Drosophila melanogaster: one gene and its partner. The protein of the gene in region 1 interacts with the protein of each later gene in a pairwise test. Each region holds a gene or a part of one and is shown in the gene's direction. Other genes may lie near its edges.

Region 1 (3,756 bases):
CGTTGAATGCTCAGTAATTGCCCAGAGCTGATTCATTTCCATTACCTCTCTCTCTTTACACATCGTACTTGTCCCTTCTTATCATGGTTGTATGTACATATTTGCTCGAGATTGTTTCTTGGTTTACCGCATCTCTTCGTCACGGCGAAGCGTTTCATTTAGATTTTACAGTTCTTGGTAGACAGATTGCTGTAGCGAACGCGTTGGTAGCACCGTTTTAGATGACAAACTAAAACGAGATGTCTTATTTCGCAGATCCCAACCAGCAGTACAACTATGGCGGCGGTAATCCCCCGCAGGGAGGATATGGTGGATATCCACCTCAGGGCGGCTATCCACCTCAAGGACCGCCGCAAGGCTACCCACCCTATGCACAAGGAGGTGCTCAACCCTATCCACAGCCCTACGGACAGGGGCCTCCACCGGGAGGTTATGCTCCCCAGCCGGGATTTATCCAACCACCACCATCTGCTGGCGGCTACGGAGCCTACGATGATCCGGAGAGCCAGCCCAAGAACTTCTCGTTTGACGACCAAAGCATCCGTCGCGGATTCATACGTAAGGTGTACCTGATTCTAATGGTGAGCTTTAGATAATTCTGCATAGAAGGCATGTACAATAAGTTATCATTTCTGTGTCATTAGGGACAACTAATCGTCACTTTTGGAGCTGTTGCCCTGTTTGTATACCACGAGGGCACTAAAACCTTTGCCAGGAATAACATGTGGCTCTTTTGGGTTGCCCTCGGCGTAATGTTAGTAACCATGCTGTCTATGGCTTGCTGCGAAAGTGTGCGCCGCCAAACACCGACGAACTTCATATTCTTGGGTCTGTTTACAGCAGCTCAGTCGTTCTTAATGGGAGTTTCCGCAACCAAATATGCTCCGAAAGAGGTGAGTACTTCGATTTAATTACGATATGTAGTAAAGTGATACGATATCTGTTTTCCAGGTTCTCATGGCGGTGGGCATAACAGCAGCGGTTTGCTTGGCCCTAACGATCTTCGCCTTGCAGACAAAGTACGACTTTACTATGATGGGCGGTATTTTGATCGCCTGCATGGTGGTGTTCCTGATCTTCGGCATCGTGGCCATCTTTGTAAAGGGAAAGATCATAACACTGGTGTACGCCTCGATTGGAGCGCTGCTCTTCTCCGTTTATCTCATCTACGACACACAGTTAATGATGGGCGGCGAGCACAAATACTCTATCAGTCCCGAGGAGTACATCTTTGCGGCACTAAACCTCTACCTGGACATCATCAATATCTTCATGTACATTCTGACTATAATCGGCGCATCGCGCGACTAAGTTCCGCTCTATTTCCAAATATTGTTTGCAGCTTAATCGGGTTATTCAGTAACCTGGAATACACGAATATTGTTGTCGCGTAATCTCATCGGTGTGCTCCCCCAGTGGAGGTAATCTTCAACTAACGAATTACTCAAATACTTACAAATCTATCTACTTCGTGTTGTGTTTGCCCATTTTCCCCGTTTCCTTCTAGTTCTAAATGTCAACTAAGGCTATATGAACTACTTACTTTTTGTTATGTATGTTTTATTGTTGCTTAAGTTGAGGCGCAAACCAAGTGGATATTTCCAAATTTAAAAATAAAAAAATTATATATATGTATGTATACCAAATGATATGCCATTCAGATAAACGAAACAACAATAAATAGTCACGTATAAACATATTTATGTAAAAATATACATATAAGCAAGTTGGCTTGCAGTTGTTAACACATAAAACTTAACCGTGTGTAATAACCAAGGAATCCCGATTTTCAACTATGAATCAAGTACCGAACATTGTAATCCCTGCAGCGACACTGAGTTTAAAGTCAACAATAAAGCGCATCTATTTATTAAAGCCACAGACCCCTGCATTGTAGGGCTTCCGTCAGTGGTTCATCCAGTTCAACCAGCCAGCCACCACCAGATGCAACTTTAGTCTGCGACTTCAGAGCGACGCCGTTGGTTGGATTACTTCTACACTCCAGACCATTATCGTCTGCATTTTTGCTTTATCATTGCTTAAGTTAACTTTGTTATCTGCACCACCACAGAAAGAAGTCCGGGTGTTTTAATTTCGGGTTGGCCCCATATCATGCGTTTGACCCGGCCACCTGTTCAGTAGTTCGTGTGAATTCCAGCAGGGCGTAGCTATAAAATGTATCACTACCAGCAAGGTAAGTACCGCCCGGATTGGGCTGAAACCAAACCAAATTGGCTACGGAAAGGTGCTTTAGATTAGATAATCGATTTGGCTATTGTATAAAGCTTATTGACTGCATCGTTTTCTCTCAGTAAGAGCCAACAAAATATATCTCTCTCGGCGCATTTTCATCTGATAAGACAGCTGAAAAGGTTTCGTTATGAGCCCAAAAACAGTGATTCACCCAATCGAAGGGAGAGTGAACAACCATTTTGAAATTGTATGGTGGCAATATCAGTTACTCACCGACATCAATACACAAATCTTATCTAGAGTAGAAGTGTGGGGCTGTGATAAGAGCCGGTAACCGGCTAATCTCAACTCATACGTCCATATGGGAACACCTAGAAAGGGCGATTCGGTTCCATTAAGCTGAAACACTAGCACGCTGCCGGCAGTCGGGCAAAGAGAGCACCGTAACTTAAGTGACTAAAGTTTAGTCATAGCAATTTAGCCATGAGCAGCGACAATCATTTTCAGTACGGTTAGTCATTGCATTAACTTTCCTGCTTCCTTGAATTGTCTTCCAACCACACAGGCGATGAAACTGGCGCATACACAGATGCGGAAGCGGACAAGAGCTTCGCCTTCGATGACCAGAGCATCCGGAAGGGATTTATTCGAAAGGTCTACTTGATATTGATGGTAAGTGCTGATATTTGAACTGAAAAAGAAAATATCAATTTAAATTGTCCAAAAATAAAGGTATTTGCTTCACTACTTGTCTGCTTTGGGTCACTTTAAAACTTCAAGATTTATTGACTTCCTGCAATCTAATTTTGATATCGCGCTCTATTTCTAGTGCCAATTGCTGATCACTTTCGGTTTTGTTAGCGTATTTACGTTCTCGAAAGCTTCGCAGGAATGGGTGCAAAAAAATCCGGCACTGTTTTGGATAGCCTTGGTAAGTTTTTACGACTTTTATGCTAAATATTGAATACAAATATATCCAATTTTTAAACTCAGGCCGTTCTTATCGTGACCATGATCTGTATGGCCTGCTGCGAAAGTGTACGCCGTAAGACGCCTCTTAACTTCATCTTTCTTTTCCTGTTCACCGTGGCGGAGTCGTTCCTTCTGGGTATGGTCGCCGGACAGTTTGAGGCTGATGAGGTCCTGATGGCAGTGGGAATTACGGCCGCGGTGGCCCTGGGACTCACCCTGTTTGCCCTGCAGACCAAATACGATTTTACGATGTGCGGAGGAGTGTTGGTGGCCTGTCTGGTGGTCTTCATCATTTTTGGTATAATCGCTATCTTCATACCGGGCAAGGTGATCGGACTGGTCTATGCCTCCTTGGGAGCATTGCTCTTCTCCGTTTACTTGGTGTACGATACCCAGTTGATGCTGGGTGGTAATCATAAGTACTCCATCAGTCCTGAGGAATACATCTTCGCCGCTCTAAACCTCTACCTGGACATTATTAACATCTTCATGTACATACTGACCATTATCGGATTGTCTCGCAATTAGACTGGTCATTATGATCCATAGCTTCTATTCCAGTTTTAGAAATGTAACTTAATTTTATGTGCC
Region 2 (3,756 bases), 7.7 Mb from region 1:
TATTTTTGATCAATTGGCACCATGCGAAAAATTCTTGTTTTGCATTGCCTTAACGTTATTATTATTTCAAAATAGATTAGAAATAGCCAAATCTATGTACATATTATCACAAAAATAAATTTTTATTTTTATTTTTAGAGTATTCATCTTGCGGCGTGTGAAAAATTAATAAGGCAATGATTGTTGAGTGCTTGTGTCCGCACTTCGTGCCTCAAGATATGAACAAAGCAAAGACACTAGAATAATTCTAGTTTCTTTGATATTACTTTTGCAATAAACAGTTATCATATTTAATTATTTAGTATATTTATTAAATCATTTGACTTAATATGATGTAACATTAACATTAAAAGTGTTTCAAAAAAAATATTTCGCTTTTAAAAAATTGTCAGATGAGAGACAAATTAGAATTAAACATAAATATAAATGTGTAAACGGTAGCTAATTCGAGCGGCGATTTTAACAAACAAATTTAAAAAGCTTTAAAATTATAATAGTCAGGGCGCGAATTTTTAAAAATTTTTTTATTTTATCATATTGCTAGGAAATTGGCAAAAACTACCCTAATATGTACCATGTAAATTCGTTTCTTCGATCAGAATTGATTTCGGCCCGAAAATCGTCTTCTAGCACAACACGCACACTTATACGCGTTCTCGTCTCTTGTTTTTACTCACACAAGCAAGCAAATTATATTTTTAGATTTCTTACGCTCTAAGCGGGAGTGAGCGGAAAGAGAGTAATTTTGGCCGTCACCAAAAAAGTGGCTGCATAGTGCCAAACCAATGTATGGCCGTTACGCATCTTGTTATTCTAGTGTCTTTGCTTTCTACCTCTTATAGTACATACATGCCTATGAATCTAGTATACCATTGCACTATGGGTAAAAAACCGGAAATTTTTGTATTAATGTAATATTTTTGTGATTGATATTTTAATGCTCCTTTCATTTTTTGATTTCTAAGTAACAAGATAGCATAAAAAAAATGTTTTAAACCTTTTTACGAGTTATCGTTTATTTTTGGCGCACTTTCAAAGTCAGCTGATTCAGAGGTGCTTTGAATTGCGAAAATGGTCGGAAAAAGTTGAACAAATGTGCAGCGTAAACATTGTCTTCATAGCAAATTTGGAGTTTATTTTTAATAATGGAAAAATGGAGCAACAACAAACGCGATGCAGACGCTATTAACAGTTATATTGTGGAAAATATACAAGAGAACTTTGAGACTAAAGAGCAAAAGATTACCAAATAAGCAGGCTGCAGAATAAGGGCATTCAACTCCACTTCTCGTACATGCTGCTTCATTTTCCGGAAAACAACGAAGCAGGCAGAAACGGCCTTTATATTGAAAAAAAGGGAATTGAAAACATACATAATATAAAAAAGAAAATTGAGACAAATCATTCTATTAAAATAAGTGCTGAAAACGCTTTAGCTTTCCCAATTGAACATGGATTTACAAAGTAGCAATATAATAATATAAAACCGCTCAATAAGCATAAAGGATGCGATATTTTCCATCCTTATTCAAAAGTAGCAGAAGCAAGGATGGATAACAAATATAAAAAAATTTTGACTTTTATTTCATAAAATTGGTTTTTGTATCTTGTGTCTTCACTTCGCTCCCACGCCAATCCTTCGCCCACCATCCATCTCCCTTGAAACCCGCTTTCATATGTATATAAATACATTTTTCACTTTATATTCAAGGATTTTTTTGGTGGGCGGAGATGAAGGCGTGGTCAGATCAAAAAATAAACAAAATCCGAAATTCTATTTAAATCTTAATTATAAACATAAAAAAAATCAAGTCGCTATCTTTATAATTGTAATTAATACCAAAATTCCCGGCTTTTTACCCATAGTGCATTGTACTCTACAACTAGTGGATATAAAGCTAAGAAGGTAAAATCCGTCCTCAGTAGATGGTGATTAATAGTTTTTTGTGATAGTTTTGAAACTACTTTTTTATATCGATATTTCTTAGGAAGTCTCAACCGCTCCGACGGATGTGAAAAGTACACTTACTATATAAGCCTAAAATGTGAAATTACTATTATAGTATATATTGATAATTAATATTTTAATGTGCCAAAACGTCGTGTATTTGCTGACGTTTGCTGTGGTAATCAATTCTGGTTCAGTAAACATATTCAATTCGAATTCTATGGCCGATTAGCTATGGACATCAATGAATATAATTTATACAGTAAGTTTCCTTCTCGTCAGTGACAAGCAAAGCAAGTTGAAAAAGTCTTGCCCTAATATCTATTATCAAATTCATCATATGTATGAATATGTGTAAAATGTGAAATGAGTGGCTGGCACCCTAATTTTTTCTGCTTTAGAATCAGCGAAATGGAATAAAAAATAAAATGTATATTAATGTATGTATTAAAAGAAATCGATTGAACAAAGGTTAAGAGAAAAACATAAAAGGGAAGTACGACATACGATATTTGAATAATAAACAACAATATATAAAATTAAAAGATTTCTTAATAATTAAAAATTCGCGTCCTTATCATTACTGTCTATCAATAAATCTTATAATTTGCTGACGCATTGCCATACGTAAAGTGATAGCTTATTTCGTGCAGTTTAAACAGGACAACCTTACAAAAACTTTGTCCCTTTCTTTGATAAGTTGATAATACCATATGTATCTTGCAACAGTGTAATTTTTTTCGATTCCTGCGTAAGTTACTCTTGTATTCTCAAATTTTTGCTATCGGAATGTTTAGTAAACAGTTAACAGCTGTTTAAGCTGTTTTTCAGACAATAGAGCGGCCCATTCGACAGTTTTAATTATTCACTGCAATTAAGTTATTAAATTAAATAGGATTTTTTTCGAACAACACTTTTAGTCATCCTTTTTAATTTATTAATGAATTATTTTATATTTTATAAGTATTTTTATTGCCTGTTTCGTTTCACCAACAGCCTTTGCGATAAATTTTGTCGACGTATGTATAATAAACAATTATAATAATACAACGTCGCCGCAGGAGTTTTGAAAGTATTTCATATTTTTTTAGTCTTGTAAGTTTACAATGGTTTGATATTTTAAATTTTTTCATTTAATTTTTTCCTGACAAAGTTAGCTAATTACAATAACAATGATATAAATAACAATTAAATAAAAATGATATAAGTAACATTTAACTACATAACAATTATGAGATCATCATCTCCTGGCTCTCGTCAAGGGTGACCTGTGGAGCCTTCTGGGTGGGCGACCTTTGTTTAGTGCCTTGGCTAGGATATTTCTATACCGCTCTAACGTGTCGTGGTACCGGCTAGAGTGCATGTTTATTGTCTCGAAGACAGTGGCTAGTTTGAGCTCTTTGTTGTTGTGTTCCTTACGAACCAATCGCAGCCGGTAATCATCCTGGCGATTCTGCTTTGGGGAGCCTGAATACGACGGATTTGGCTGTCGCAGGCCAAGCCCCAGATTTGATAGCTGTACCTCCATATTGGAGCTATAATTTGCTTGTAAATTATCACCTTGTTGGATAGTGACAATTTACTTCGCGAATTTATAAGCCAAAAATGGTGCACGCATACGCATGCTTCGAGAAGGTGAGTCTCCTATCCAGGATTTTTTTTTTAAAATTAATTTATTTATCAAGGCATACGGGGAAATCTTGGAGCCCCTTTGTGTCCTTCTTTTCTATTAATTCAGCCCATTTGGGCGCGTCGGCTAACTATAGTTAGCTTTTTCAAGTCTACAGTAATTTTACTACAATTACATA

What was found. Proteins that work in one complex are often made in the same cells at the same time.
Region 2: the proteins of Lfg (region 1) and Atf6 interact in a two-hybrid assay, tested with the Drosophila melanogaster proteins (one large-scale study listed by BioGRID).

Annotation. Positions count from the first base shown.
Region 1 is NT_033778.4:12,875,210-12,878,965, reverse strand, and holds the start of Lfg (lifeguard), read left to right. Parts: upstream 1-1,999; 5' UTR 2,000-2,175; coding exon 2,176-2,194; exon of another isoform or gene 2,195-2,676; coding exon of another isoform or gene 2,677-2,704; exon of another isoform or gene 2,705-2,758; coding exon 2,759-2,865; exon of another isoform or gene 2,866-2,884; intron 2,885-2,941; exon of another isoform or gene 2,942-3,022; coding exon 3,023-3,124; exon of another isoform or gene 3,125-3,186; coding exon 3,187-3,693; 3' UTR 3,694-3,756. Other genes in the region: Nmda1 (N-methyl-D-aspartate receptor-associated protein), read left to right, coding at 256-581, 645-893, 952-1,311.
Region 2 is NT_033778.4:5,142,649-5,146,404, forward strand, and holds the start of Atf6 (Atf6), read left to right. Parts: upstream 1-2,084; 5' UTR 2,085-2,182; coding exon 2,183-2,210; intron 2,211-3,756.